Linked DNA regions of Alligator mississippiensis. The protein of the gene in region 1 purifies or fractionates together with the protein of each later gene. This does not show direct contact. Links are inferred from orthologs where the notes say so. Each region holds a gene or a part of one and is shown on either strand. Other genes may lie near its edges.

Evidence for each region.
Region 2: the proteins of PRDX1 (region 1) and thioredoxin purify together in Homo sapiens (affinity purification with western blotting; 3 studies listed by BioGRID, with this or other methods). This does not show direct contact. The link is inferred for Alligator mississippiensis from reciprocal best matches to the Homo sapiens genes PRDX1 and TXN.

The regions. Positions count from the first base shown.
Region 1 is NC_081828.1:2,600,377-2,616,976, reverse strand, and holds the start of PRDX1 (peroxiredoxin-1), read left to right. Parts: upstream 1-8,664; 5' UTR 8,665-8,774; intron 8,775-11,152; 5' UTR 11,153-11,163; coding exon 11,164-11,269; intron 11,270-14,016; coding exon 14,017-14,170; intron 14,171-14,723; coding exon 14,724-14,846; intron 14,847-15,733; coding exon 15,734-15,864; intron 15,865-16,496; coding exon 16,497-16,582; 3' UTR 16,583-16,600. Other genes in the region: AKR1A1 (aldo-keto reductase family 1 member A1), read right to left, coding at 1,828-1,980. UniProt on the Homo sapiens protein: Thiol-specific peroxidase that catalyzes the reduction of hydrogen peroxide and organic hydroperoxides to water and alcohols, respectively.
Region 2 is NC_081826.1:165,821,661-165,838,307, reverse strand, and holds the start of thioredoxin, read left to right. Parts: upstream 1-7,932; 5' UTR 7,933-8,020; coding exon 8,021-8,044; intron 8,045-11,366; coding exon 11,367-11,471; intron 11,472-12,730; coding exon 12,731-12,790; intron 12,791-14,861; coding exon 14,862-14,927; intron 14,928-16,647. UniProt on the Homo sapiens protein: Participates in various redox reactions through the reversible oxidation of its active center dithiol to a disulfide and catalyzes dithiol-disulfide exchange reactions.

The DNA.
Region 1 (16,600 bases):
GTAAGTGTGTAGTGTGGGACAATGGAAAATACCATGCAAAGTGGAACTGAAAACGCAACAGTTCTTCATGACATTGCCATCCTTTTGGGGGTCAAAAGTACCTTTTTTCCTCTGTCCTTTCTGCTTGTCTAGTCACTGTCAGAGGTTCAATCAGAAACGGACACAGTCCCTTGAAAGCTGAGCAAACCTGTCCACTCCCAGTCCCATCCAAAACAGAACGGCAACCGAGATTGTGTTGGAAAAGTGTTTGGTGATAGACAAGGGATAGACAAGGTAGCCGTGTTGGTCTGAGCAAAAGAAATGCAAAAATCTAGAACTCTTGGTTCAGAGATAATACCTTTTATTAGACCAACTGAGAAATCACAATAAAAAATAGACAAGGTACTTCTGTCCATATTTTGCTGGAGCTATTAGCATTAGCTATTAGCATCAGTGTAGAAAGGCCCTTAGGCCTGATTCAGCAAAGAAGCGTGTGGGAGAAGTGGCCTTTTGTTGCTGTAGGGGAAAAAAAAAGGATGCTGTGCTTTCACAGGTACAGATAGCTGCCTCTGTGGTGCTGGATACCATAGCATTCAAGGTTATCTTTGGTGCGGGAAACATGCTACTTCACTGCAGGAGTCTCTTTCCTATCTCCGGTCATCGGAAGATTTTAGTTGCCGTTGAAAACAGCATTCTGCTTAGGGTGGAAAAGTTCTGTCAAAGGGGAAGCAGTTGCAGTACGCTATGAAGGGTGTTGCTTTTGGTTGAAAACTGTTAAAAGGAAACAGTGTTTTAGGATGTGTTCCAAGGCATATCCACTTCCTTAGCTTTTGCTAAGATCAGCTATTTCTTGCTGTTTACTGAATTAAAAATTTCATCCATGGTAGAAAAAAAACCCTATTTGTCATGCCAGCTAGTGGGATGCCCTCACAGGAAAATTAAGCAGAATAATTTTTGTGGAAAATTATAATCTGTGCATAATTGCATAGATTTTCTTGTTTGCAGATAAGAGTCTATACCGGGGCCGGCAATTATTTCAGGCGGAGGGCTGCTTACTGGGTTTTGGCAAGCCATCGAGGGCCACGTGACAGGCAGCCAGGGGCAAATAAATATTAATTTTCTACATTTTGTAGGGGCCCCATGGGCCAGATAAAATGACCTGGTGGACCACATCCGGCCCGCCCTGGTCTCTACGGCGAACGCTCTCTCAAAATAGGTGGTACGGACTCTCTGTGACAAGCGAGCACTTTACAAGATAAGCACTTTATTAAATACTGCACACTTCAAATGCAAACTCAGACCTTTAACCCAAAGGACAAAGTATGCATGTAAAATCAGTAACTCTTGGCCTGCTCCAAGAACACACAGAGCTCTCCTGCTTCACGGGACACACTTGTATATTAATACTGTATAATGCAGGGGTGGCAGAGCCAGGGAGCCTGGAAAGAGAACAAATCTAGACAACAGAAGTCTACAATCTTTCTCCCCAGATGCTCCCCTTCACCCGACTGGTTTGGTTTTGCTTTGAGGAACACCACAGTTGTGCAAACCTCGACTGGTCCAGCAGATGAATAGAAGAGAGGATCAGGTTTTAATAAGACAGAGATGGAACAGGATAAGAAGTCAATAGATAATTAAGTAATTAAGATTAAACAGTGGCTTCCATTAGCATTTTTATGCCTATAGGGGTGTAGAAACCAGGAAAGAAAAACCCCAGGTTGCAAAGATGATGTGAAATAAACTGCAGGTTGGCTCAGAGACAGGGTAAACTTCAAATTGCACCGACTTAAAAGACTCCCTTTATCCATTTGCTTCTGAGAAGAGTGCCAGACACCACTGGTTTCTTACCCCAAACATTGCAATGCCTCCATGGTACTGGGGGGCTCTTGCTCCACCCTTCAGACACTGGCTCGCGAGTTTTTGTACAGCTCTTGCATCCTGCAAGAGCCCTTTTGCAGCGCAACTCCTCGTGCCAAGTGCCAGGCAGGCAGCCCCGAGCATCCCTCTCCTCTGCTTGCCACTTTGGCAGCAAAGAGACCTGCACAGCACCGCCCCCCGAGCAGCAAACCTAGGCACCCACCCCGCCGCTTGCACGTCTGGCTGTGCAGAAACCCGGGGAAGGGAGGGGAGGGGAGGGCAGGAAACTCACCGCACACCCGTGCCTCTTCCCTCCCTCAGCCTCAGCCTCAGCCTCAGCCTCAGCCCCCCGACCTGCCCAGCACAACGTTTCCGTTTCCGGCTTTGACATTAACTCACAATGTATCAGCCCATTTCCCCTTCCACGTGGGAGTGCCAGGGCACATGTGTTACCGTATTTCCCCCTTTGCCAAGCCCCTGGCGCGGCGCAGCCACTTCTCCGGGCGCTGCGGAAACTGACGTGTTGAAACTGACCAGGAGCGTGCTCGCTGCTCGGGGCTGGCCTTGAGGGGGGTTCTGCACACCGCTTTCACGCCTCCCTTCACCCGTGAGCCTGAACCAGGAACCGGGAAGAAAGTCCCCACAATAAGGAACCGGGAGCCAGGAATAAAGGATGCAAGAACTGGGAATAAAGTCCCCAGGAACCCAGAATAAGGATCCAGGAACCGGGAATAAAGGATCCAGGAACCGGGAATAAAGGATCCAGGAACTGGGAATAAAGGATCTAGGAACTGGGAATAAAGTTCCCAGAATAAGGATCCGGGAACTGGGAATTAAGGATCCAAGAACTGGGAATAAAGTCCCCAAAATAAGGAACCAGGAACCGGGAATAAAGGATCCAAGAACTGAGAATAAAGTCCCCAGAATAAGGATCCAGGAACTGGGAATTAAGGATCCAAGAACCGGGAATAAAGGATCCAGGAACTGAGAATAAAGTCCCCAGAATAAGGATCCAGGAACCAAGAATAAAGGATCCAGGAACTGGGAATAAAGTCCCTAAAATAAGGATCCAGGAACTGGGAATTAAGGATCCAAGAACCGGGAATAAAGGATCCAGGAACTGAGAATAAAGTCCCCAGAATAAGGATCCAGGAACCGGGAATAAAGGATCCAGGAACTGGGAATAAAGTCCCCAAAATAAGGATCCAGGAACCGGGAATAAAGGATCCAAGAACTGAGAATAAAGTCCCCAGAATAAGGATCCAGGAACTGGGAATTAAGGATCCAAGAACCGGAAATAAAGGATCTAGGAACTGGGAATAAAGTTCCCAGAATAAGGATCCAGGAACTGGGAATTAAGGATCCAAGAACTGGGAATAAAGTCCCCAAAATAAGGAACCAGGAACCGGGAATAAAGGATCCAAGAACTGAGAATAAAGTCCCCAGAATAAGGATCCAGGAACTGGAAATTAAGGATCCAAGAACCGGGAATAAAGGATCCAGGAACTGGGAATAAAGTCCCCAAAATAAGGATCCAGGAACCAGGAATAAGGGATCCAAGAATTCAGAATAAGGATCCAGGAACCAGGAATAAGGAACTGGGACCAAGGAACAAACTGGGAACAAGGAACCAACTTCAGGCTCGTCCTCCACCCAACAGTGGATTTTGCAATGGAAAATTGCTCGTGGAAAGCTTCTCCCTTTGGTGAAGGGGGAGTTTCTTTTCCCAGCTCTCTGCTTATGGGACAGTTTGCAAGGAGCTTCCTCCACCTCTGGGTTGGAAATTTCCCTTATACAGCCATAGAGAAATAGGGCTGGAAGGGACCTCCAGAAATCACATCTAGTCCAACCCTCTGCCTCAGGCAGGACGAGCCCTGTCCAAACATCCTCTATACTTTCATCATCACAACTGCAGTTGCACAAGTGGTGTGTGGCAGTCTGCAGCTTGGCTCTGTGGCTCATGAAGTTTGTCAAGTGTGAGACAACTCTGGGTCCCCTCCTCCAAACTCTTATCCTGTAGAGCAATTCATGGAGGTCAGTAGAGTTACGCCCGTGAGTAAGAGCTGGCAGAATCTGCTCCCCTGTGACACAGTCCGTGGGGGAAAACCATGACAGGATCACAGCAGGTGTAAAGAAAAAGTCCACAAACCACAGGGACTGTGGCCTCCAGCTTTGAATCAATTCATGTACATCCTGTCATGCTGCTGTCGGCAAAATATGTGCAGATGCAAAATGACTCAGCTTTTACTATTTCTTTTCTTTGTCTCTTATTTCACAGGCCGGGGGTTTCAATGATTCAGATTTCTAAACGACTAGGAAAGAGCTAAAAAATATTTTCAGGGGCATAACAAACTGCTCCCAGCTACTTTTAAAGACGTTTCAAACACAATCACACAGATTCAACTTAAATTAAGGGCAATAATATTTGTGTGAATTCTCCAGAAAAGTCTTTCTTCTGCTCCATTGACCCTGATCACATTAACAATATTTCTGCAAAGGGGAGGGCAAGAAATCCATAGGTTGGAGTCACTGGATTCCACAAAAAGTGCAATGTCAGGTACTTTGCTGTTGGGGTATTGTTTGCACGAGGAACTAGTGTACTGAGAGAACAAAGGCATATTTGTTCAACACACATCCTCAGGTATGCATTTCCTTATTTATACAATGAAGCTGAAAGGAAGGCTAACCTGACTGATATGTATGCAAATTTGAACTGTGGAGGTATGATCCTCCAAGGCAGCATTTGAATGGATCTTAAGAGAGCAGCATGTGGCGTTGTGTGTGTGTGTGAAATACCCCCATGCTTACTGCATTCCTGTCGCTACAGATGGCCAGGACTGAAGATCACACACAGCTGTAATTTTCTTCTCTAGATGTCCACATTTACAACTAAGTTACAAACTTTGAGGATTTGGAAAGCAGGTGGATTTAAAGATGAAATGCCAACAAATTCCTCACTGTACCAGGCCTGGAAGTGCGTGGTGGGGTCGTTCCACCCGTTTCTTTCTTCGTTGCAAATTGATGCAAACCTAGTAGAGTCTCAAGGTTAACCCCACTGGCTACTCATATAGGAGCACTTTTCCATGGAGCTTCCTATAGCTACAGGACTGAAAAAGCAGCAGCAAGATAGTGCAAAGGAAAAAAAAGAATGGAAAGAAAAGATAAAATAATGTTGAGGGCAGGGGAGGAAAGAGTGAAGTGGAAGAAAAGGAGATAAGCAAAGTGCCTGTCCTCCTGGAAACAGTAACTATGGACAGTTATTGCCAAGAAAATTGCTATTGGACACTATAGTATAGTATAGTATAGTATAGTATAGTATAGTATAGTATAGTATAGTACAGTAGAGGATACTTGAACATGTCAAAATAAATAAAAAATGTGACAATTAGAACACTATTCAATATGGAACAAAAAGGAAATAATTATATCCTTTTTTGTCAGAAGACGGCACATTTTTGTCATCAAAAGACTGTCATGACCCATACGATGATGATAAAAACGTAACATTGAGAGCGCATGGATAAAGAAAAGGAAAGGCCGTATGTTTTGATCTGAAAACACGACGATCACTTCAATTAAAGAAGGAAAAGCAAATGTGTGTTCAAAACCCGTGATTTCACCTGTTTTTACACTGAATTCCAGAGCTTCTACTTCTCATTCACAAAGCCCATCTTAGTAGGCCTAAATGGCTCAATTCGCTCTTGAGCGCATCAATTGAATAGGCACATCTACAGGCCTGAGAACCGTACAGCTTGGAAGACTTTCACCAGCAGAGCCCTGAGATGTCTATAGCCAAGCCAGGATTTTGCTCTTCTTTAACAAATAATTGGACCCTTAGATTTAAACGTGATGTCTTTGGGAAAGGGACTGTATCTTTGTATCTCTGTACTACCTGGTACAAAAGGCCCATTCCTGACTAGGGACTCTGGTAGCTAAAACCACTAAATAATAATTGGGATCCCTAGCAATAACTTTTGGGCTTAATTTTGTGTGTATTGGTGTAAAGCCCACAGATTCCTATTCTTCTCAATCACAGCGGTACCAGCCATCTCCTCCGTGCCAGCAAGTAAGCTCACTCTGCTGCCTCAAGGAGCTCAGAACAGGCTTCAGCTTGTCGTAGCAATGACATGCCCCCACCTAACAGTGAGGTAACCAGATCGCTGGAGAAGCACGCTCCTTTATCTGGAAATAGCAGCCACTGACAATGCAGCACTGGTTCCTTACCCAAAAACAAGCAAACCGCAAACCCCCGAAGCAGATGATGAAGAGACCGGCTTAGAAGGAAACGACAGAATACCACACACAACCTGAGGACACAGAGGTGTGAACGGAAAGGCAACGCTCAGAGCAAACGAGGGCAAATTGCACTGTGGCAGCTCCACACAAATGAGTAGACCCCGCGCTTGGAAGTGCACAGAAGAGAAGTAGCCCGAGAAAATTGCTCCTGATTTGTGCAAGGGGGGTTGATCCATGTTAGGGTGCAGCTACACTGCTAAGAGTTGCATCGTGTGTCAGCAATTCTTTCGCCACCGTTGAGACTGCCTGGCTTGCCACGTGCTAACCTAGACACATTTCCCTGGCCTATGTTTTCAGGAGGTTTCTACTGCGCGCTGCAGCCTCCAGGATCCTAAAGCACTTCAGAGGCGGCGTGCAAGCGAGTGCATTTTGTTTTTAACATTTAGAAAAATAAACTCAGTACCAAAAGACAGTCCTCGCTAAAACCGATCGGAACGAGTGTTCATCGGTGCACAAGAACACCACGCAACAGCGAGAATCGTAGCGGCTCACGCAGGCAGACGGCAGTGTTGCCAGACATACATATTGTATTTGTACACCACGTTCAACTCCTGCATGACAGATAATCATGAAAGAGGCCGAAATGTGCAATAATTCAGGGCAGATGCTCACCGTTTAAAGAAAATACTAACTTTCAAACAATTTTCCTTCTTCAGACAACCGTCTTTGTCCAGTCCCTCATACGCAGAGACTCAGGGGCACGTTATACACATGGCCGTGCCCAGGGTTCGATTTACAGGGGAGTTTGGGGGAAGGAGGGCTGAGCCCCCCATAAAAGACAAGACCCCCCCCCCCGGTAAGATTTTAAAATCAAAACTTGGGGAGTCTTCAGTTTTATTAGGGCATCATAATGGGCAGCCCAATTTTTTTTGCAGACCCCCCCAGAGTCAAAGTATAATTTGAACCCTGGCTGTGCCCCTATGGCTGTCAGTAAAATGACCAAAATATTTGCTATTTACAGATAAATGAGTCTGAATCTTAATGGTAAGGACTACAGAAATCCTTTGGCTGTGCAGGTTCTGAAATATTTGCAATATACGGCAATTTGGAGGTTCCAGTACAATCTACTTTTATCGTCTTCCAATATTGATTGACGTTTAAAAATGATGCCTTTTGATGGCTTCCTTTACGTGGCAAAATATTAATGTTTTAATACATGGTAAGTAAATGGCAGTGCAGCCCAGAAATAAACAGGCATTGCCAACTCCCATTAAAGCCAGTCTTACAACTGCTGAGATTGCCTCCAAGTATTTTCTCGCTCCACTCAATGCTGTGCCTAAACCGCACCACAAAAAAAGACCTTTGCATAACTCTCATGAAAGTTTCAGAAGTTGGATCATTAGTCCCGACAGCTCCTCCGTGTCCTATAAAGCAGCCAAAGTATTTCAATATTCTCTGCTAGGCAGCCAAGTCAAAGCTCAGAGATCGCCTTCATTGTTTAATTTTAACCCTGCATCACATGACTCGCCTTGCGCCGACCGCTGGAGCCGAATTCGTGAGAGCAGAGGCAAGAAACAGAGTACGGCTTACGTTTGCCTTCTAACGTTGCTAGCAGGGTGAAAGGGTTTTGCTCGTATACATGTGTGCACGTGTATAAATGTATGCATATATTTTGATATAGTCATGTATAAAAATAGATGTAGGCAGACAAGGTTATTTGGGTAAATGTGATATCTTTTATGAGACGGAGAACCTTGTCTGCCTATGTTCCTAGACCAACGCGGCTACTGCCAACACCCCCTCGACATGGTAATCCAGACTGTGCAAACATACATGTTTGGTAAAACATAGTGAATAAAGGAATAAATACATAAAAGATAGATAGATAGATAGATAGATAGATAGATAGATAGATAGATAGATAGATAGCCAACACCCCCAAACCATGGTAACATACATATATGGTATACATATATTACCATGGTTTGGGGGTGTTGGTAAATATATACATATTTAGTAAAACACGGTAAGTGTATATAACCATGTTTTGGGGGTGTTGGTGGGTAGATACACATACTTACACACACACATATACAACACATACACACATAATACACACACGTACACATACATGCACACACATGTACACACAATTCACATGCACACACACAATACATGCACACACGTACACACACGTGCACACACATAATTGACACGCATACACAATACACACACACATATATAATAATGCACATATATCACACACACGATACACACACATATGTACACACAATACATGCACGCACACATCTATATGCACACACAATGCAGACACGCATGCACGCACATCTATATGTACACACACAATACATATATGAACCATGAAACTGTATGCACACGCGATTCACACACGTATCACACGAGCGCACACACGCCCGGCCGGGGGCGCGGCGGGGTGTCCCGCTGCAGAGTGATGGGCGGGGCGAGGCGGGGCGGGGGCACGGCGCGTGGGAAGGGCAGGACCCGCCCCGCCCCGCCTCGCCCCGCGCCGCTCGCGAGAGCCGGGCGATATAAAGACGGAGCCCTCCCCGCTCCGCCCCGCTGCCTGCTGCGCTCCGTGCTGCGACGTACCGCTCCGCACTGCATCGTTCCGTGCTGCGCCGCACTGCATCGCTCCGCTCCGTTCGTCTGTCCGCCCGCCGGTGAGTGCAGCCCCGCTGCGGGCGGTGCTGATCCGGGCAGCTCTGCGTTTGTCTCCTGTGCAAAGCCGGGCCTTTAACAACGGGGGAAAAGGCCCGGCTTCGCGTGCGGGCCGCGATGCTTTGCCTCCAGCCTGACCCAGCCCCCCCTTCCCTCCCTCCCTCCCTGGTCCTGGGGCCCCGGCCCGGAGAAGAGCATCCCGCTCCTGCAGCGAGGAGACGAGCGCGGGGGAAGGGGGGCATCCCCACGGCCTCTCCTCTCCTCCCTGCGCCGGAGAACGGGCTGCAGAGAGGCGGGCGTGTGGGCTGGATGTTGGGAAACCTTTCTCCCGAAGAAGGCAGCGAGTCTGCTGGGAGAGTCTTCACGCTCACACTTGTATGCCAGGAGGTACATTGTTGTTGGGGCCGTCGCACTAAATGACCGCCCGGAGAGATGGCGGCATCTCCGTCCCGGGAGTTTAAGACCTAAAGCCCTGGCTGGGATGACGCAGCTGGGGATGGCCCTGCTTGTGAGCAGCGGGGTGGGCTAGATGTGACCTCCCTTCCAGTCCTCCTTGCCTTACGATTTTGCAAGGCTTGGCGCTCACGACACTGGTTTCCAGGCCGGGCAAACTGTTAGCCCAGGTGATGTTTAATCCTAACACTTCAGCCCGGGGCTCTGGCAGGGATGGAGCTGAACGTGTGGAAGAAGCAGCCCGGTTGCAGGGTGGGGTTGGCAGCTGGCAGGCCCGCTGGCTCTGGAGGACGGTGGGCACATGCCTTCCTGGGGGTTATGAAATGCCCTTCGTTCTTTGGTGAAGTTGTGGCCGTGCCGTGGGACCCACCTAGTCACCTGGGGTTAAATGATGGTTGAGAAACCTCTTGTCTAATTAAGAGATTTGCTGGATGGGGGGAGGATTAAACTGAACTACTGGAGTTGCAGCTTTTAAAGAACTGGCAGAACTAGAGACCGTGCCCATCTGCACTTTTTGTTTTTTTAAGTACTGCAAGAGGAAGTATAACTAAAAAAATCCTGAGATGTCTGCACACCCATCTGGTCAGGAAATGCTGTGGTTTTACCTGTTTGTTTTTAAAAATAATTTTAATATGGGAAGGTGGTGGATGTTATGGAGCAAGCAAATGTAGTGGGGAATGGTAACCAAGTTTCCTCGTTACAGTCTCAAGTGCGGCAGTTCCTAACGCCCAGTATAAAATCTTCCGCTTTCCTGGAGGAATATGTTAATGAAGTTTTTAGATTTTGCTTGTCTCTGAAATTAAGAGGCCTGGAGTCTTTGCTCTTAAATCCACGCAGAGCTGTATCCCTGGATACAAAACCTGCTTCTAGGCTGTTGTGTGTGGAGGCCCAACCATTGAACCTCTTGACCGGGTGGTTCAGCCTCTTCGAAGGCAATTATTTACCCAGGCCAAAATAAGTATGAAATACTTCTGAAATAAAAGGAAGACACTTTTAAAGAATTAAAACTTCCAGTTTTCCTTGGACTAAGAAAAGTTCTCTATTCTTACACACAAGTTTCTCTTTACCCTTAGTTTTGCCTCATTGATAATGCATTTGATAGGTTTCTTACTATGGCTCTGCAATGACATTAAACAGTTTGGTGAAGCTGGTACGCGCTTACCAGGATAGCACATGTTCATACTTGGATATTTTAGAGCAGGATGCCTTTGCTGCATTGCATAGTAGTGTCAAGTCTCTGCTTTTGCTAACATCCCATGGAAGTTGGTATCCCTCAAACTGGACTAGCTAATGTAAGACTTGCTCTTCCTAAGCCTAGCAAGTGTTATTTATGTGCTTCAAATCAATAGGACAATGGAGCCAGCGGTCAAGGTCTTGAACTGCTTATCAGGAAACGTGGAACAGAGAAACTTCCTTGTGACGCAGCGTGCGGATAGGATCAGGGTCCGTTATGCTGACACGGTGAATGTGGGAATTGCACTGTTGTTGGTGGAAGAGCAGATGGCTAGCTCTTTCTGCTCGTGCACTTGTGTTAGGACTCCAGATAACTTGCACCCCGCCGAAGTTCAAACACTAATGTTTCTGTGCCCTCGATAGGGAAGACTTCCCCCGAGACTACTTGAGTGAAGGGGGAATGCATGACTTGCTTTCACAAGCATCTCTGTATAGCTGCGTGGGCTGCACTTCTTCCGTGCTTCTGTACAAAGTATGAAATAAAGGAAACTGGAGGGAGCAGTTTGCTACTTGTCATGTCGGCTGAGCCTTTTGATGTCCAAGCTTTTTCTTTAAGAAAAGCTGTAGCAAACTAAACCACCAGTATTTTGTGCTTAGTAGGAACTGCTAAGAGATGACCAAAATCATGACTCTGACTCCCTTTAGACACTTAAGGGGAAGATGTGTCCAAGTTATGTTTGTGTCTCCATTTTAGCTCCTATCAAGATGTCTTCAGGGAACGCATTTATAGGGAAACCAGCTCCTGACTTCCAGGCTACAGCTGTAATGCCGGATGGGCAGTTCAAAGACATCAGGCTTTCTGACTATAAAGGTAAATTTGTAATTGTGATTGGGAGTGGGGATAAGGATGGCTCTTCTGCTTGGCTTAAATCTGTTTTAAATGCATTTCTGAAAACAAAGCTGCCTGTGATCCTTGAGACATTGAACTAGTTCAGTGGTTCTCGCCCCTCTTTTGTACTGGGACCCACATTTGATGCCCAGTCCCCAGTGTGTGGGGCAGGGGGGACCCCAGGCAGCCTCTCGCAGGCTGGAGCTCTGCCAATCTGCAAGGGAAAATGCAGTTTCCCATGTTGTTTTTCCATGTTAAATGGCTTCTCCTTTTGAAGTTTGTTCATGACCCTTTCATATTCTTGCAACCCACGTGTGGGTTGTGACCCCCGGGTTGAGAAACGGTGCCTTAGTTGAGGCACTCATGCTGTGAACAGTTCCAAGTGCAGACTGAAGCACGCTTCTGACACGGGAGCAGGCAAAGCCAACATCTCATTGCAGCAAATCTCATTAACCTCAAACGTTAATGAGCACTGAACTTGCCCTAAAGTTTAGGGTGGACTTTATTCGTGTTGCTTATTATCCTAGAGCAGAGCTGATGCAATGTCTCAAACACCATGGGAGAGCAAAACCAGGTCTCCAGTGACTTTATTTTTTTGGCAATGGAAGTATTGTAACTCTTCCAGGTCGCTAATGAAGAGACTTCTTTCTAGGACTCTAGAGAAAGTGACTACTTTGCAAAAGGTGGAGAAACCTAAAGCCTAAAACTGCAGTACTTTGTTTCCTATCTCTGCATTTTTTTTTTTTTTTTTTAAGCACATGAGAGCTCATGGAAACAATGTATCAATTAACTAATACATACAGTAAAACGTGGTTAATCAGTCACTGGAATAGCTCTAGACTATGGTCCTACTGGTGAACTGAATCTCTGCAGTAACCCTACTAATCTGTACACAATGCACTCGGGGCTGGATTAACCCTTTTATGGGCCCTAGGTGAACAAACTTGTGGGTTTGGGCTGGTCGAGATGTGCCCCCTGCCCCAACCCCGGTGCTCCCGCCCATGGGGAGTAAGGCTTGGACCTGCTGCCAGGGGTGGCGGCAAGGCCAGTGGAGGGGAAGAGAGGCAGATGGGGCCATTTGCATTGCTACGGCAGAGGAAAGGACCAGGCCCCCTTGCAGCTCAGGGCCCTAGGCTTGTGCCTAGCTTGCCTATGTGTTAATCCAGCCCTGACGACACTTAGACTCGTTCATTGTCTGTTAAAGCAATACATAGATGTATATCTATGCTTTAAGAGATGATGAATGAGTCTAAGTATGTACATCTATATATATAGAAGAGTGCTTAATGGTGCAGTTTTACTACAAAAGTTCAATGCTCACTACCCACGAGTCACATGATTGTGATGGCGTAAAATAATCGGACAAACTTCTTCTATCTTGGCAAGGAGTATAAAACAATTTTTTTTTCCTTCTGCAAGAAGGAATGATTAGGCACGTGGTCTTGCTGAGCTAAGAACAGTTGAAGCCTATTTAATACCTTGTGAGCATCAGCTGGCCCAACAATGCTATGGGGGAAGATGGTTGGTATAAAGGGTCCTGAGAGGGGTAGTTTGGTGTTAGTTTTGAAGTTGGGCAGAAGGCAGGGTAGATTAGCAACTTATTCACTAACTCTAGAGATGCATAAGCTTTAAGCAGCAGCTTGCTCTGAATGTAACGAAGCAAGCTGCTGCATCTCTGACTTGGGCTTATTTTATATATTAATCCCTTCCAACCTTGTTTTCTATGCTTCTAAATTTAGTCATCATTGCCAGCCCCCTTGGAGGGATGAATTGAATTGAACCAGTTTACTTCCACGAGCAGCAGCTAGTACAATTTAACTCGGACAGTGGTTTCGAGTATCCAGGGAATCAAGATCTTATCTGGATGCATATGGTGAAGCTTACAGCAGATGACTGAGCTGAGAAAAGAGCAGATGACCCTGCTTCAATGGCTGAGAGGGGAAGGGCCTTGGTCAGACTTATGGAGGTTTTTAAGCATTGCTAGCCTGCCCAGTGGACTCTTCAGCCCTTGGCTTCAGGCTTCCCATACAGCACATCATTATATGCCTAAGGAAGGAAACTTAGGAGCCAGACTGGTCAACTGGGAGCCATCTGAGCTAGTCAGGAGAGAAATATTGAGCAGACCAGAGAAAGGGGCAATGGGATTAGGTTCTTGGTGGATCTGTTATGTGAAGGTGCTGAGCAGAGGCACCTCCTCTACTCCAGGACACTAAACCTTTGCCTGAGGGCCAGGATAGCCAATATCTTCTTGGGGAAACCAAGACTGTTTCAACTGATGGCTCTTGCATGTGGACAGCCTGTGTCTCTCTTGGTGGCTTGCATTAAGCTGCCTTGCTATAGAAACCTGCAGGCAGCAAGTTTTGGTTATGTTCTGGATGTAACTACAGAGTCTGGTCCCATGCAGGCCTTTCCTCTTCCAGTGCTGAGAGCTTGCTTTGGGGCCCTAGTGTGAGCTACTGCTCTGAGCAGCTCTGAACCTGCATGCTGGCACACAGGCAGCCTTGTAAGTGCCAACTGGCAGGACTTGGGTTTTCTGGACTTACGGCAGCACTAAAGGTCAGTGGCACCTACCTGCTCAACTTGGATCTTCTTAGATCTATTTGGGCACATGGTTCTTAAAGGGTTGGGTTGGTTTTTCATCATTTTACCACTTACTTCACACTCAGGGCATCTTAACTAAGGAACTACAACTTGCCTAGAGAACAACTTTTGACTTTTTTCTCCTCTAGGAAAATACGTTGTGTTCTTCTTCTATCCGCTGGACTTCACCTTTGTTTGTCCAACTGAGATTATTGCATACAGTGACAGGTCTGATGAGTTTAAGAAAATCAACTGTGAAGTCATTGGAGCTTCTGTGGACTCTCATTTCTGCCACCTTGCATGGTAAGCATCAGTATTGTTACTTCAGGTCCGATACAAGGCTCTTCTGGCTGGAAGACTTGAGCAGGTGTCGTCTTGGGCATCTTCTTTTCTTTATCCTTCCTGTAGCTTACGCTAGTCTTCTCTGGAGAGCAATATAAAGCTCACAATTTAAATTTTACCTCTTCTGCTATATTCAAAGCTTAACTGAGGCTGGCCAGTGGAAATGATCCCAATGAAATGCATCTTATCAATTTATATGCCTCTTGGGTAGTGCATCAGTATGTTGGATTACTTTTTCCCAACACACACAATGTTAGTAGTAATAATCACTACATAGACTGGGGGTGGGCAAAATACAGCCTGGCTGTGGCCCACGGGGCCCCTAAAAAATTTAGGAAATTAATATTAATCTGCCCCTGGCTGCCTGTCATGCAGCCCTTGATGGCTTGTCAAAACTCGGTAAGTGGCCCTCCACCCAAAATAATTGCCCACCCATGACCGATCAACAGCATGCCGTGGTTTGGATACCCAACTGGTATGTTCCTGTTCCTGATCTGTTGCCTTTCCATCGCAGGGTCAACACTCCTAAGAAACAGGGTGGACTGGGCAGCATGAAAATCCCGCTCGTTTCTGATACAAAACGCACCATTGCTAAAGAGTATGGCGTACTAAAAGAAGATGAAGGCATTGCTTACAGGTAAGGCTGCTGGCCACAGTACCCTTCCATGAGATGTCAAACAGCGTGTGTTGAGTCATTTTGGCATTTTATATTACTCCACTTGGGACTTCATGTACTTGGAAAGAAATCTGTCAAATGAACACTGTTCACTTTAACTAACTTGCTTGCTAAACTGTTCTGTAGTCTTAAACCAATGCTTTTAGTAAGTAGATGTGCACGTGTTGGAAAGATCACGTGGTTCTTCTAAAAATATTTGGCTTCAATGGAAGTACCAGTACCTTGCCTAACCCATGTTGTTACTGGGTGCCATAATGATAGTTTCCATCCTTTGACTTCAGTGCTGGTGGGGGTGTTTTGTGGGTTTTTTGGAGGGTTTTTCTTGGCTAAGTATTCCTCTACTAGCAAAATTATTTTATTGTTGTTTGTACCCCCTGCCCTTGACATGTCCCTGCACATTCACTTCTCGGGCAGTGTTCACACTGTCGGCGTGCAACAACGCCATTACTCACCTTGCTTCAACTAATCAGAAGCTCCTCTGCCATTAAATTTTATGCCTGCATCCCTTCCTTGACAAAGTGCCACATAGCCCCGGGGTATTTGCGCTCCAGTTTGAAAACCACTGCTCGACTTGAGTTAGTTTTTTCATTCAGTATAGCATGCGGGAGTAAACCACAATGAAGCTGTAGCAAGACAAGTGATATGCATGCCTCCTAGGTCTAATTTATGTAGCAATTAGCTCGTCTAGTCTTCCATCTCTTTGACTATACGTGCCAAAAACAAATGCAGTTTCTTTACAGATCTGATGCTACATAGCTTGTGAAATCCTCTGGAAGTGCAGCGAGAGGTCTTTCAAAAGCATGTCCCGAACTGGCTTTAATGTCTCTAAACTTATCTTCTTTCTGCAGAGGTCTGTTTATCGTTGATGATAAGGGAATATTGCGTCAGATCACCATCAATGATCTCCCTGTTGGCCGCTCAGTCGATGAAACTCTCAGATTAGTTCAAGCGTTCCAGTTTACAGATAAACATGGAGAAGGTGAGAGGTCCCTCGAGGTTTTTCGGGTTTTTTTTGTGGTTTTTTTTTTTTGTTTGTTTGTTTTTGTTTTGTTTTTTTTCTGAAGGGTACCTAAAAATAGCCTCTTCTTTCTATAGAAGTGGAACTATTATAGCCAATGGGAAGAAAAACCCAATAGCCAGGACTTCCTGAAAACCCCTAGTGCTCTGCGACTAGAACTAGTCGGTGCACCAACCCCACGGCCATAGGGGAGCTGCTAGAAACTGTGCAGGTGTGGAAGTGCAAGGAATACACAAGATGCCGATCTGGCTTCAAAAGTAGCTTAGTGTAGACAACATCTCAGTCGGCCAGTATTCCTCTGTTAACAGGTGACTATAAAAGCACTCAAACAGGAATTGTCAAGACTAAAGTTGAATGAACAACCTAAATTTTGGCTGTCTAGGGTGTTCTTTGATGGTCTGGGTATCAACATGGGTAGAGCAGAACCAGTAACTAGTACAGAAGATTAATGCGCCGACTGCAACTTCAAAGTATTACAACCTGTGTGTTCATATAAAGAGTTTCTGAATTGCCAGCTCACTCCATCTTCTAAAACCAGTTCTGTGAGCTACTTCCAGAAGTCTGTGCTGAACACTGCTTGCTTGTCTTTCCAGTGTGTCCTGCTGGTTGGAAACCTGGGAGTGAGACTATCAAGCCTGACGTTCAGAAAAGCAAAGAGTTTTTCTCCAAGCAAAAGTAAACTGGCTGCATGCGCTTC
Region 2 (16,647 bases), on another chromosome or scaffold:
ACCAAGTGGAAGGAAAAGAGAGGCTTTATACCACCTTCCAGGCTTCCCTTTATTTTAGTCCTCAGTAGGCATATCTACATGTGCACATTAATGTGATGCAATAAACTCTGGTACTTAGCACACCAGAGTTCATTGCTCCCAGACACACATTCCACATGCACCTGGGATCACAGCATGTTAAGTCGGGTTGGAGCATCCCCAAATGGCAGGGGACCCAGGAGGTCATCCTGGCAGCCCAGGGCTAAATCCCCAGCTCAGTGTGCTGCAGAGAGGCTGGCTGGTACACAAGGTTGCTTCGGTACAAGGCAGCAACAGTAGTGCTGCTGCTGTGCTGCTTACAAAGTCACTTCCCAGTCTGTAGGTGTGTTGGTGATCCTTTTTCTCTAGATGCAGCACTTTGCACTTATCTTTGTTAAATTGCATCCTATTTTTCTGCCCACATTCCCAACCTGTCCAAATCTGCCTGAATCCGCTCCTTACTCTCCACTGTTTACTTTGCCCTATTATTTGGTGTCATCCATTAATTTAGACAAGGCAAATCCCCTCAGTTTATTTATAAGGATGGTATGGGATACCTTGTTAAAGGTCTTCTTGAAGTCCAGATAGATAACATCCACCTCGACTCCTGCATCTAAAAAATTGGTGGCCTTGTCATAAAAGGAAACTAGGTTAGTCAGGCAGGACCTACCTGCTAAAAACCCATGTTGGTTACCCCTCCACATCACATTAGCCAGCAGGCTCCCACAGATGTGCTCCTTGATCATTTTTTCTAGGACTTTCCCAGGGATAGAGGTAAGGCTGACTGGTCTATAGTTCCCTGGGTCCTCCTTCCTCCCCCTCTTAAAGATTGGGATGACATTGGCCCTCTTCCAATCCTCCGGAACCTGACTCGAGCACCATGAGTGGAACGCTCATATATCCTTGCCAGTTGATCAGCTATGACCCCTGCTAATTCCTTCATTACCCATGGGTGGAGTCTTTCTGGTCCTGGTGATTTGAATACATCCAGTCCCTCCAAGTGTCTTTTTACCGTGTTGGCACTGACTGCCGGTTGGCTGATGTTCCCTTTGTTGGTGTCCGTGATGTATGTTGAGGGTTCGTCTAGATTCCTATTTAAGAAGACAGAGGCAAAAAACTCATTGAAGAGCTCTGCCTTGTCCCTGCTATCCGTCACTAAGCCCCCCTGCCCATCCTGTATGGGTTCTATGCTACCCCGCCCCCTCTTTTTGCTCCCAACTTACCTAAAGAAGGACTTTTTATTGTCCTTAATCCCTGATGCTAGCCTAACTTCTAGAGTTGCCTTGGTCTTCCTTACCAACTCCCTGCAGTTCCTCCTATCTGTTACCAATTGCCCTAGTCTGTCCTGTAGGGGTCCTGTAGGGGTCCATGCGCCTTCTTTTTGCTCCCTATATGCCTGAAGAAGGACTTTTTGTTGTCTTTAATTTTTGTTGCCGGCCTGAGTTCCATTTCTGCTTTGGCCTTCCTCACTGCTTCCCTGCAAGTGCGAGCCAAGCAGGTATACTCCTCCTTGGTGGCTACCTGCTGCTTCCACAGTCTGTATGCCTCTCTTTTCCCTCTAGGCTCTCCTGGATTTCCCCGCTCAGCCAAGAGGGTTTTTGGCTGTTTTGCCTCCCTTTATGTGCACTAGGATGGTCCCCTTTTGTGCCTGAAGCATCATTCCCTTGAGGAACGCCTGTCAATTGGCCTGAACACAAAGGAATGCTTTGAAAACTGACAGCAGTCAGAGCACAGCCTGGCTAGTCCCCTAGGACACCACCTATTACTTCAGAAATTTCAGAGAGGGGGACTTTGTTCCTTTGCTGGAAAGGTGTGGGTGTGTTACTATGAAGTACAGTAACCCTGGGTGCCTACAGACGAGGGAGGAAGCTGCTTTGGCACACTGTAATTACAGTGTGTCAGAGCAGACTTGATTGAGTCAGCTGGAGCACAGCAATTACTTCCACCAGGGCCGCCCGCTCTCCCCAATCCTTTTTATCAGCACCATTGAACCCCTGGCCCACCACATCAGGCAGGACCCCAGGATGCATGGAGTCCCGATTTTTGGAGGAAGCAAAGAAGAAACCAAGGTCCTGGCCTACATGGATGATCTGAACATCTTGTTCTGGAATAAGTGTGCTGTAGAGAGAGCCCGGAGGTACACATGGGTCTACAAGGCAGCAGAAGGGGCCAACCTTAAAGTGAGCAAGAGTACCTGCCTGGCTATGGGCGAGCTCAGGGATCTGGAGTCCCTGGGATCTCAGTCCCCCATGAGGGGGCAAAGATCCTCAGGGTGGAGTTTGATCCTGAGCTGAGTGAAAGGAGGGCCTGGGAGAAGAAGGAGGACAAAGTGAAGCAGAAATTGGGTCTGTGGCACATGCGCTGCCTCTCCATGGGGGGCATGTGGCACTCATGAAAGCAGTGTTGCTACCAGTGCTTCTGTACACCGCACTGGTCTTCCCTACACACAAGTGTGTCACCCACAGAATCCAGAGAGTCACGTGCATCTTTTTCTGGGGATCCAGAATGGAGAAGGTGGCAAGTAAGACCCTGTACAAGAAGAAATGGGCCAGGGGCAGGGGGATGCCTGACATCCATGTGTTCCTGTTGGCAAGGTACACAAGACAGATCTGCAAGCTGGCAACTCGGCCAGCAACCAAAACAGCCTGTCTTGTCAAGTATTTTACAGGTCATCTCCCGAGACCGTGCTGGGTGCATGCACCAGCCAGAGGGAGTCCGTGCACCATGGAGAGCCCCTGGTTCTACAGTGTGCTGAACGAGTTCTGGAGCGAGTATGAGCTACCGAAGGAAAGCCCAGAGACCATGTTCAACCACAGGAAGATACAGAAGGCAAGACCATGGAGCTGCTCCATGATGACTACTGTCAGGCCATCTAAGACCAGCTCTTCCACAAAGACCTAAGAAAACACCACAGAGACCTGAACTGGCTCATAGCTCATGGTGTACTCCCAGGGAAGGTGTGGAGGCGCAGAGCGAGACGAGAGTCTAGAAACAAACTGCCCCAGGGGAAGCTACCAAAGTGAGAATGAGACCATCGACCACCTCCTTTGGCTCTGCCCCTATGCCAAGGGAGTGTGGAAAAAGGTAAGCCAGCTCCTTGAGGAAGTGACAGGAGTCAGGTTGATGACAGGGGAGGCAGCGCTGTACAGACACCTAACTAAACATCAGGGGTCCCAGACAACCCACTTTGACCAGTTTGTATCCTGCATCAGGAGTGCCCTGTGGCAATGCAGGAACCTCCTGATGTACAGTCACACTAAGTTCGAGCAAACGGATTGTGTTAAAATGTTTCTGAACGAACTCCAGTCCTACTACCAGAAAGTGGTGGGAGAAGATGCAGCCAACTCCACCTGGAAAAGGGACACATGGCATACATAGGCTGTTCAAAGTCCTCCCAGGAAGGGAAGTGGATAGGGAGAACGAAGGGGACAATGACACAACTGGACCTGGAGATAGTGAAGAGGACAACAGGATCAGCAACAGTGGAAGCGACAGCGGCATCTACACCGATGAGGACAGAGAATGAACTGAGGAGGGAAACCCCAAGTCAGAGCCTGGACAAAGGGACTGTGTTTAGGTTAGGGAAGGGCAGAGGGTGGGTGGGTGTGAGCACAGGGGAGCAGGTGCAGTTATTGTAACAGGTGCACGGCTTTCTTAAGGTGGTTCTAAAAAAAAGGTGCGATGGAAGTCTATGATATAGTTATAGATATAGATTTTAATTTTTAAAAAACCAAAAAAAGTAGTAATTACCTAGGGTTGCCAATTCTGAATCTATTCTGGGGTGTTTCCAGAATTCCAACGTGCCCGTGAGAGACAGAGCGAACGTGCCTGCATGCTTGCATATATCAGTTAAAGATTAGTGTAGACTTTACATCAGGAAGGCAAATGCACATTACAATTACATTTTAAAAACCCACTGGATTACTATATATATACTAGATTCAACATTTAATATTTATTTTAATGAATGCCCTATCATTTATCTTCTGGGTGACTCTCAGCAGTATCCTGGAGGTTTATATCTAATTCCTGGAGACTCCAGGACAATCCTGAAAGGTTGGCAACCCCATAATTACTGCACTCCAGCCAGCTTCCGCATCATGTGTATCAACATCCCGTGCTTCAAAATGGCAGCGGGGGTGCTTTATCTAAAGCTCGTCAAACAAACTTTATATAGAACGCCACCACCTCTATTTTGAAGCTTGGAGATGCTGATACACGAGACACTCTCGGCAATTTAATTAGAAGGCTTGCTCCACCCCACCCCTGGAGCATGTGTATGGATGCCCTCTGAGCCTACCTGATAGAGACTTCTGACCCTGGGAATTTCCTGAAGCTTGACGAAAGGTGCTAACTGCCTGCACTGGAACACGCCATGCTGTATAAGAACTGAACACAGTTTTTGCCCCTTATTATCACAATGAGGTTTAATTTACTCCAGAATTTTTAACTACAGAGCAAACACTGAAATACAGGTGATGAGCCCCAAAATATATAAAATACACCAAAAGGTACCAGAAAAAGAAAGTTTCATGCAGAGTTGCATCTGATCTGGAAACTACTAATGGAAATTTTCATGCAAATATAAGGAATATGTCTGGATCCAGCAAATCTTTCAAACTGGTGAAACTTTTTAAGGGTGATCACTGTAAAACTATTAGTGTTATTTTAAATATATATAAGATTTTAAATATATAACCAGAGTAAATTTAACTTATGATACGTGACCACTCAAAGTTTCATAATTTCAGGAAGTATAATAGTTGGAGCTGCTAAACTAACATAAACTAGCTGAACCTTTTCTATTTATACAAGCTATAAATAATTTTACGTCACTTCACAAGCTCCAGTATCAACAATGAAAAGCTGGTAAGGAAACAGAGAAGGAGGAGGGAAAGCAGTTCTGGGGGAAGGGACTATGCGTGTTTTCTGTTCATCATTACACAGCACAGAAATACTTCCCCCTCATCATTACACAGCATTTTTTCCCAGAGTCTCTGAGGAAAACCGAGGACTCATTAAGAGAGCTTAGGCACGCCCACAGCTGTGACTAATACCACAACATCGCATATACAAGGCTGTTTCTCTATTTAATCAGAAGAAGATTTAGAGGCAACATTTTAAAAAAGCCTTACCTATTCACCTCTTTTCCCACCCAGATCTGTCATAGAATATGGTGGAAATTCCTTTTATTTATCTTAACATCTGTTTTCAATTTTCCTACAAGTCAGAGTGCATTTGCACTTCTTTCTTATTACATAAAGTATTTTTATTCAAACCTCAGTGTTCTTTATTTTGCTTGGTTTCCTTAACGGCAGAGGTTCCCAACCCCCGGGCCATGGCCTGGTACTGGGTCACAAAGGGTGGCTGCCGGTCCGCAGGAGGGTTGGCTGCTGGATCGGAAGTCCAGAAGTGATCAGCATACTGCAGACTGGCAGCCAACCCTTTTTTATACTGAGTATATACTCAGTATAAAAAAAGGTTGGCTGCCAATCCACAGTATACTGGTCATTTCCAGTCTCCATTATGCTGGTCCACGGTCACTTCTAGTTTGCAGTCTAAAATGGTTGAGAACCACTGCTTTACAGACAGCATAAACATACCTATGACAGTGCCACAGTTTGGGATTTGCATGATTATGGGCATGTCTACACATGCATTTATACTGGCTTAAATTTACTACACAGTAAACCAGAATAGGCCGGCATCTACATGTGTGGGCATTATAGTATGCATTAACACTGTATGTAGACTGACTTGGGACTAGTTAGTACCAAGTCAGTCCACACACACAGTGTTACTGTGCAGTAAGACATCTACATCTGCGTTACTGTGCAGTAACAAATTGGGTGTAAATTTGCAGGTATCAAATTTACATTCAAATTGGCATAAATTACCACATGTACTGCGCAGTACAGACACAACTTGACATATGCATGCCCATACTGTGCAGTAAATGAGTTGTGTCCATACTGTGCAGTAATTTCCATTACTGAGCAGTAAATGCACATGTGTAGAGTGCCCTATATTTCTCTGAACGTTTATCTGCAGTTTGTCTCTGGCCAAGGTCTTCCCTTCTTTAGTGCAGTATGTATTGTGACATAATATTTATACTTTGATTATTTTGTGGCTTCTGATGGGTCTTTTATTTATTCATTCAGATTATTCTAAGCAGCACAAGCATCAGGTTGGCACATTGTATATGTCAGCATTTTCATCATTATTTCATCTTTGTGTATGAAAGATTGTGTATTACCTTTTAGTGCAACGGATGTGTGTTGTGCTTTCAACAAACCATAAATTTGAGGATTTCAGGAGTTGTGAAAATTTGGGGGATGATGTTTTGTGATAGTTAGTACGTTTGTATGAGGGTGCTCCAGAAAGAAACAGCATTTTTCAAATAAACCCACTTTCTATGCAATGAGTGGGAAAGTACACAGCAGCAGGGCACACTGATAGTGTTGTCAAAGGCACCCAACGTTTACAACTATGTAGAGAAGTGATGTTGTCCAGTAGGTGATCATTGTACACAAAATGGTTTTATTTTAAAAGCACTATTATTTTCTCAAACACCCTTGTGTTCTGTAATTTTAGAGCTCTGTGTGCACTTGGAAGTTTTTGGGGCACTGTAAATATTGCAGATGTTCAATACATTATGTGTGTTTTGTTGTTCTGGTGTGTACATGTACATTTTGGAGTACTAGAAAGCTCTGATCAAGGCTGCTCAAATTCTTATCGTGGCTCAGTTTTTCAATAGAAAACCACAGCTTTGCCTAAACACAATTCTTCGTGAAAAGCATCTATCTGTGCTCATACCTGCTTTCCATAGACAAACAGAATGTCAGTTGAAAAATAAGCACCTGAAACCCATTTATTCCCAGTCAAAAGACAGAAAATGTTGAGCTTTGAACATCCTATAAAACATCTACATATTTTTTGGGGAAAAAGGCCATTTTTGCATGGTATCTAATTTTCATGTCTCCTTCGGATTTGGGGGCTGTCCTCCTCTCAGGGCCGTCTTTCAGCTTTGCCAACGTGTTTCAGTCATTGCCTCACTTAACTATGTGTGCATGCAGAGAACTGGTTAGTGGGCAGGCAACCAGGAGAATTGCCTGGGGCCACGTCACCCAGTGTTACTGCACACCGGCTCCGTCTGTGCACGTTCGCCACCCAACTGCATCAATAAGCAGCTCTCCAGGAGAGGTCTGTAAGACTGCTGTGCTGGGCCTGTTTCTCCCGCGGGGCAGAGGCCCAAGCGTGTAGGACCGCAGTGCTCAACCTGGTGCTTCTGCTGGCCAGGAGGTGTGTGGCCAGTCTGCGGGCCAGATCAGACCCACCCACTGCCACGACTGGGGCCGGATGCACCCAGTCCCCATGCTGCTGGACCAGACCTCTGCTCTGCCCCTCAGCCAGCCCCTGCACGTGCCCCTGCTCTGCTCCAGCGGCCTCTGGCAGCCCCAGATACCCAAATCACCTGAGCTGGCGCAGAGGGGCTCCCCGCGGGTCCTGAAACGTGGGCATTAACCCTTGCACCACTGCCCTGCCACCAAATGTGAGGGCCCAGTGGGCCAGACGGCACCAGGGCGCGGACAGGGGCTGTCCTGACCCCTGCCAGCCCCATGCAGGCGGCACGGGGGCACTCGGGATTTCCTGGCAGATCTCTCCCTTTACTGGGGAAAGGGATTCCCTAGCTCCCCACCCCCAGGGAAGCCTTTTTTCTTTTTTTTCCAACCTTGTTACCCTGTCGCGTACAGCAAGGGAGAATGAGAACAACCCCTGCACGCATGCGCTAAACTACACCCCACCCCTGCTTCCGGCTCCCTGGACCAAAAAAAAATAAGGGCCGGGAAGACGACTGGCTGAGCCGCGCATGCGCCCATCTGGCCACGCCTCCTCCTCACCGGCCTATATAAGCTGACGGCCGGGCGGGCGGCTGGCTATAGGTGCCCGTTTCACGTTAGCAGTCGGCAGAGTGTGCGCGAGCGAGCGAGCAGGCGGCACGATGGTGAAGAGCCTGGGGAGCCTGGTGAGCGACCGCTGCGGGGGGGGAGGCGCTGCGGGCAGCTCGGCTCGTTCCCGTCGGGGGGCGCCTCGCAGGCAGTGCTGGCTGAAGGCGGGGCAGGAGAAAGGGGGCTGGGGCGGAAAAGGGTGGACACGCATGTCCGCCTTTTCCTGAAAAAGGCTCCCTCCCCCCCCATTGGGAAAAAGTCACCCTCTCCACACACCTTCGTTCCCCCCCCCCCAGCTGCAGGGCGGGTCGCCTGAGCTTCTCTCCTCCCCCTGACTGATCTTCAGTCTCATTTTCTGCCTCCATTTTTCTACCTACTATGTAGACTAGTCCCGTTTTTTCTTAAAAATTTCCTTTTTTTCTTTCTTTTTAAAAAGCATGCTCTGAGGGCTCTTGGGCTCACTGAATAACTGTCCTGCTCTTCCCTGAGGATTAGGGAGAGCAAGGCTCTTATTTTTCCTTGCATAAAGACAGTAGTGTAGGCTGGTGCAGCACGAGGCAGTCTGTTTTAGTAATCCTAATGATCTTGGAGCTGTGGGAGCTTCCAGGCGGGAGCTCCTTGCTGTGGGCTCAGGTGTGGGAGGGAAGGCAGGGCGGCGCATCTTGGGGGGGAAGGTGAGGATTTGGTTCTGAAACAGCAGAAGCTTTTGGCTTGATCTTGGCAAGTGTCACATGAAATAAATCATAATTCAGAAAAATGCAAGCACAGCTAATGTTAGCAGCCAGAGTTGCTGCATGATTAGTGCTCTAGATTAAATTCCTCCTGGCACTTGCTCCTACTCTGTAAGGCCTCCTGCACTGCTCTAATTGGGGCAGAGAGGAAAAATCCCCCTCTGCTCCCAGCTATAAAAGACAAATTTAATCCTCCAGTCTTTGTAGTTGACATTCTCTAATTTACATCATAACCTCTGACTAGTGGAACTGGGTCCTAGTACATGAGTCATCCTCTGGTCACATGGCAAGCTACTTACTCGCTGTTATGCATCTGAGTATGGAGTTAAGGGCCACCCATGCCAGCAGGTAACTGGCATTAAAGGGCTTTTGATTTGGGACCAGAAGGAAACTGGTAGATGAAGATGCAGGATGGTTGCTAATTCCACTAGCTGGTTAGCTAAACTTCGTTCACCCATACACTCGCATCTCAGTCTAAAGGAATGCACTGAGTAAGCTGTCTTCTGCCCCGGTAAATGTACACTAGTAATGCCTGAAGATGTAGAGAAGGCAAAAGCAGGGGTGGGTATTAAATATACTGTGGCCCCTGCTATTTGGCCCCAGTGCTGCCCCTGTGTCTGATGCCCCATGTGGGTCTGGTTTCCCATGGTATGGGGCTGGACTGGGCCCATGGACTTCCTTTCCTCCCCCAGCATACCTGATCCAGCAGATGTTCCAGCTGGTCTGTGACCCAAGCTGCATTCAGTGCAGATCCCAGAATGCATGCTGGGTATGGCACAGTCTGGCCAAAGTGGCAGCTGCACTGCATGCAGTGTATACCCAGCCTGTGCCAGCAAGGTGCAATGTGCAGGCCAGATCCTAGACAGGCTGAAGCAGGTGCTGCATGCAGTGCCTAGCCTGGGGTGGCTATCCCTACGGCTCTGACTGGACCATGCATGCCACACAAATCACTTATTCCAGCTGCGCTAGGATCTGAGCTGCAGAAAGTGCAGGTCCTGGACAAGCTGGAGCAGCTGCTGCAACAGGTATGCTGAGATGGGGCCAGAGGGTCAGGGACAAAAGGGTGAGGGAAGCCAGATGAGTTTGACTCCCTGGGCTAAAGGGAGTGGTGAAGAAACTTGCTTTCCTGTGCATAGTTACTCAAGAGCATCAGTTGGCATGCATATACAATAACTTGCACAGTTATGACTCTGATTACTTATATCAGTTTGAACTGTGTATTATCAGGGCACTGATGTAGATACCTATTACTCTGGTATACAAGGTCAGTGCTTTAAAATACTGTATGATCAAAGAGCTAGATTGTGGTGCATTTAAAATTGCACTTTCAGGAATAGCTGTGTGGAAAGATCTGGTGTACAAAAAGAATCTCTGATACAGGAAGTCTGTGTTTTTGCTTGGATTATACCAGATTGCCTAGAATAAAGGAGTTCACTTAGGCTCTGAACTTGTCAGTGTATAAAAAGAGCGGCATGGGGGGGAAGCCCTGCTTAACTTGTTAGATCTGTCTGATGAAGCCTGACCACTTGTACTTTTTCCTCTACTGGTAACCTGTATGCATTATTTATCAGGAACATGTACTATAACTCAAGTCTAGAGCCTAAAGTGGCATCTTTTGATTGGCTGCAGTTTCTGCCAAGACACCATGTCTGCCATTATAATTTGGTGGGGAAAATGGCTTGACTCCGAGTTTAGTCACCTTTTTTTTTTTTTTTTTAATTGGACGAGTGGTGGGAACTTCTTCAGAATTGATGATAGTGCTTACATTTAGTTCATATTGGCTTCCAGTTTTTAAATAAGGTTGCCAGCTTCAAACTGCATTTAAGGCTTAAATTTATGGAATTAAAATCACTTGAATACTTTTTAGGAGCAAATAATGTACTTTCACTTAAGACTGAAAACTGTTTGCTAAACATCTGGCATCACACTTTAGTACTAAACCATCTTCTTCGTGTGATATTGTCTTGGACCAGCTAGTTCCTTTAATTTTAATTTCTTTCAAAGCTGAGACACAAATTTATTGAACTTTAAATGCAGGAGACTTCTCTTTCCCACCCCCACTTTAATAAAAGCTAAATGTGGAGAATGGAAAGCTACAAGTTCTAATACCTTGATGTGGTAGCCAAGTTAATTCACTAACTGAAGATAACACTTTACCTCCCCCATTTTTGACATTTTATGCAAAGCATATTTTGCTAAACACTTTTCTTGTATATCAGCACACTTAAAATTGTGTTGCCCTATTAGTTAAACATGTACTAGATGTGTTAATGGAAATTTGAATTAAAGTTAGACTTGTATTCCAATACAGCATAACATAAGAGACATTTAAGAAGACATCATTATTTCCTGGGACTTAATCTGAACAAAAGTAAAACTCTAGGTGGCATGTCTACTCTTCTGTTAGTAAAAGGTATTAAATTAGTTACAAAAACATTTTATTGTTAAACTGATTCTCATTGTGGATGAGGTAAATGTCTTATTTTGCATTTGTACAAAATGTTGACACTACTTCTTTCTTCATAATGAACTCTCAGCTGCTCTAAAAAGAATTCTTAAGCTCAAGAGCACGCTGGTCGTCAAGAGGCAAATGACTTGTATTCACTTGTAGGAATTGAACTTAATGTTTTTAATTTTTATTCTCTTATTCTTCCCTGCCCCCCCCCAGGCTGAACTTGAGACTGAATTGAAGGCAGCTGGTGATAAACTTGTAGTTATTGACTTCTCTGCTACATGGTGTGGACCGTGCAAAATGATCAAGCCTTTTTTCCATGTAAGTAACTGGCAAACAATACTCACTTCACTGATTTTTTTCAATGGTAAAAAAACTAATGTAGTGCTTCAAAACTACTTCATTATGAGAGGTCTGACAAGTCCCCAGCTGACATAGTCAAGAAGACCTTTGTGCAGTTTGTAACCACATCCCTGACATGGTAGATGGTTTTTAAGCCATTTTACATGGAATAATTTTAAAGAACATGCATCAGTGAGACTTTCTTTTAACTGCACTGTGGCAAATACAGGGTCCAGAGAATGTAAATAAACCTGTTCTATTTGATACCAGAGTCTTGCATCGGCTGCCTTCAGAAGCCCATCTGAAATACTGATGTCACTCTGAAATTGTAATTAAGGCTAAAATGATATCAATGTTTTATATTGCTATATGGTCTGGGTAGCTGTTCAAATCTAGAATAAGTACCTTGCATTTTGATTTCCCCTAAGACAGTGGTGTCAAACTTGTCCAAGGCCTTGGACTGAATCAATACTGCAGGGTGTACTTCTGGGCCAGATCTGTAGGGCCAGCAGCAACTGCAGTGTGGCTGTTTGTGTGGCCCTACATGCTCCCTGGCTTCAACACAGTATTCTGACAGGGTACTGGATTATACGCTTTCCCAATCTGCAAAATTGTAAATGCACATGGAAAAGCAAAGCAGCTCTACTGTATTAAGTTTGGATCCATTCCCTTTTTGAAATGGAGATGGACTGTCTCAAGAATAATCCAATTAAGCACTCTTGCTCAAAAGAAGAAAAAAGGAATACAATGTTAACTTTAAAAGCAGTTCAGTAGTAGGGAGACTACTATCTTGCAAACTAGATCAAACTAGAGAAGAATATGTGTACAGCTATAAATCCTCAACTGACCTGCCTGTGTCTGGAAGGTTCTAAAGCTTAATATTTGTGTGTCCCTATAGCCATCATAATATTTCCAGAGCAAGTTGTTGTGAGACTTAATGATTTGGAGGCAGAGCAGGGAATGCCCAAATAAAATCCTCCTCCTAATCCGTTCCGATTGGAGATGGAAAAGTAAAGTCATGGATGCTTTGGTGACCATCACTGACACTATACTGTTAACTGAACTCTGGAGACCAGAATTCCAGCTAGTAAAATAGCACTAATGGAAATGGGACTTCATTTTTTTTTTTTAAGTGGGGAGGGAGGGGAAATTAGTCTTTCCCCAAAATGACACAAAGCTTGGGGGGGAGGGTAATAAAGCTGCAGCTAGAACACTAATCTTTGGTATTTAAATTTTAGGAACTTGTGGAAAAATATAATAATGTAGTATTCCTGGAGGTTGATGTGGATGATGCTCAGGTAAGGTCTTGAATTAATACAGTGGAAAAAATAATACTATTGGTCATATAACTCCTGACAATAGAACTAGATTTTAACATGCAGTGTAATACTTTGTTTGCTGAAAATGGGTAGTGTTACTCTTGCTCTCGTATTTTCTTAGCTTTACAGAGCAAGAAAGCTAAGGACTGACTGACCTTTCAAGAGTGGGGGTGTCTTATGTCCTACTGGGGAAATGTTAAATTATTATAGTGGACTTATACTTGTGCATTTGAACTTTAATCAATCTGGCTTTGTACTACTGTCTGGCAGACTCCATAGTCTTCACTGCAGGCATAGGGAAGAAAGGTGCTAACAAGATGACTTTAGCTGCTTTACCAGGACTGAAAACTCAGATTTACACTTTAAGATAGCAAGTCTTCAGTCCTGGTAAATCAGCTAAAATTTGCTTGGCCCTTACAAGTGTAACAGCACTCATAGAGCCTGCCATGCTCAGGCCTTGATCACTTAATCTTCCCATGAACTTTGGCATTACTGGACCAGTACTGTTTCCTTTTTGACTTCAGTACAAATAAACTGATGGCATGTCAAAAGGCAGGCAAGTTGTCTAGCTACTGCTCTGAAACGGAGTACAATCACTTTCAGGGATTGTGAGTTCAAGAGCCAATGTAAATTCAACTTTCTCCTTGCTGCTGTACTCTGTTAGGATTGTCTAACTTATCCCTGCTTCTCCCTGACAGCTGTTTTTTTGCCAATATCTATTAAATTTAGAAATGTTCTTTAGTGGGGAAAATAGAGTAGGAATGCTGCATGGCTTCAGCTTTTTTTTTTTTTTTAATTGTATCAACATGAGAAATCCTCATTTGGTAAGATTACATGTTGAGAGAGTTCTTACAGTACATGTTCTGATATTTGAACTGCTGTAAACAACATTAGTCTGTCAAGTATGCAGTCTGACAAGTGCACATACGACAGGCAGGCACTCTAGCTTGCAAGTTAACTTCATAGCCAAGACATGATACTGGAAAAAATAATCTATGCTGTTTTGGCAGGAGCAGTTCTATGTTTTTACACATAGGATTAGCTTCTAATGTTACCAGATGTTTGGCATTGTTGTGGGTGGTGCCCTTAGATGGGGAGCTTTCTTGAGGCTTTTTTTTTTTTTTTTTACAAGGTAATGGTGTGCATTAATTGGCTGTCATGCAATCACTTGAAAGGGCACTAAATACCTATGTTGTTGAGTCTCACCTGACCTCTGCCAAAGAATACATATTTCTCAAACTTTCTCTTGTATCCATTCCCCTTGCTGTTAAGCAAGAGCTTACCCAAGGGTTGTGTCCCAACTGCCCCTAATGGCAGGAATTTCTTTTCCTGTTATTGCACCAGTTAAATTTGATTGGCTGAGACACATAATTGAAATAATGAACGCACTGCCGTAAGCTTCAGTGTTTAAGGATTCTCCTTCTGGCCTCGGACACACTTGAGCAACAACTTCTTTAGCAGGAACACTTCTTGGAATTTGGTAGCTCAACCTATCGGTGGAGTACATCCTCACAACTTGCTTGGAATGGGACCTGACACAATGAGGCTTCCTAGTAGCTGTGTGGACTCTAAAATCCTGGGTTTGTCAAACAGTCCCCCAGAGGAAACTAGAACTAGTGCTTATACTTCAGTGAGTGAGATCGTCTGAAGGGTGCTGCAGAAAGTGCAAGGAGATAAGTGGATAAGGGCAGGCTCTGGCTTTGCCTGCCTGGACACTCTCCTGCCCCTATTACCTGGCTCCTTTGCAAAGAGGAAAGCACTGTAAGTCTCTGAAATGGGGGTACTGCTCAATTTGGATAAACTTGGAGGTGTGCCTTGATTCTGAGGGGTGCCTCTTTACAACTTAAGAGCCACTGCTCTAAATCTAGAAAAGATGAGGAGACTATAGCTTTTAGCTGACTAGTAGACTCCACTGGAATGTACCGCTTTACTTGGTAGCAAGTACATGCTTGGCTCCAGTCTGTCCTCTAGCAGTTTTTAGACAGACTGCTTTCTAGCTGTAACTAAAGTTTTATATCTTAAGATTCCAGTGAAACTTCCTCTCTTCTAGGATGTTGCTGAACATTGTCAAATCAAATGCATGCCGACATTCCTGTTCTACAAGAACGGCAAGCGGGTAAGTTTCCACATTCCTGGTGGAGCAGGTGTGGGGAAAGTAGCCCAGGGAAGGAGAGCACTGGATGCTGAAATCCTTGATCTGAACCCAGATCAATAGTAGCTATGTTTAGGCCTAGAAAGGCTTAGAATCTTAAAATTATCTTAAAATTTAGATAATTGCTTTGCATGATCTTTTGGGGGTAGGGAGGAAGAAGAATGGAATCTGGCTTTGTACCAGGAAAGTCTTCCAAAACTAAAGATGCTCATGTTTTGTAGAGCTTGCTAGCTAGCCTACTTGTCCATGATGCAGATGACTTTTGAACTAATAAAGCACAAGGAAGTTAATATATCCTGAGACTAGATTTTCTAGCCAAGAGTAATGGGTTGCTAAAATATACTTAAAAAAACGAAAACCAACAAACATTTAATAGCCACCCCCCTCCCCCCCCCCCCAAAAAAAAAGCAAACTACCTGTTGAGTCCTGGACAGTTGTCTGGCATGTTGCCATTTCAGGGAAATACCTGAAATGTATGCCCCAGTTCATAATCCTCACTAGTCAGAGTTAGGCACTCTTCACTTTCGCCCCAGGACCCAGACGTTTGTCAGCTGGCTGTGTGCAACTTCTCTGCCTACCCACTGCAATAGGTTAGCATTTACCAGTTACAGTAGTAACTCTCCTGAAACATTATGAAGCATGTAATAAAACAAAAGTCAAGGTAGCCATTGATTACTGTCCATCTTTGTAGAGAGGCTGAAGTAACAATTTTTCACAACGACCAAACTGATGCACCATATTTTCTCTCAAACCCCCAAACAAAAACACGTCTTCCTCTTCCAGAAGGCAAAATGTTAAGGAGTGTGGAGGGAGACTTCTCCAGAATCATGGCAGACTGTGACACAGTAAATCCTCGTGGAAACAGTGTCCAGAAAGTATGGCACTAGAATTTTTCCTTTGTTGCATGAGGCTAGGCCCCAGACCCTTGCAAAGGGCAGTAGAAGGACTACTACTTGTTTGTTGCAAGTAGTTCGTTATGGAACTTCTGTAAATTATGATGTGTTTCTACAGCACGGGCCTCATCAAGATGCTGATAATGGCTCCCTTGCTGCTTTGGGCAGAAGCTGCAGTACTTGACTGATAGCTATGGCTATGGGAGGGCTGACAAGACTGCACCTTCAGTTTTCTGAGCAAATGCAAGTGGTAGCCATCTTGACAGCTGCATGGCATGCAGTGTCTCTAGCTTTGCCCTTCTTTCCAGCACAGGACCTTTTTCCCAAGCTTAAGCACACATGTTGGGGGGAGGGGTTGGAGAAAAGGCATTGTTGTACACTAAAGCCTTTTGTGATTTGGCTTTTAAACTCAGCTTAATTGGCCCTTTGGTATTAGGTCTTTAGATGTTGTGCATCTCAAGCCAGTGGCAGTTAACTTTCTTAAACTGGTAGTGTCTTTAATGAATCTCCAGCAGCGCTTCCCTAAAATTAATTTCTGTAAACAAGCAACTGCCTCAGTAGCTACATGCAAGTTTTTGCTGTGTTAGCTAAACTTCATACATCTTGATGAGTTTTGGTCCTACTGTGTGATATCATGCACTTCCTAGTCAACACATGGGCTTGGCAGTCCATTCTTTGGATAATGACAGTTTGCAGTGTAAGGACACAATTGAGAGCAGTGGACTTACTGGGCTGGGAGTTGCAATGGGCATGGAGACATGGTTCTTAAGAAATGTTTAACTTGGTGGGTA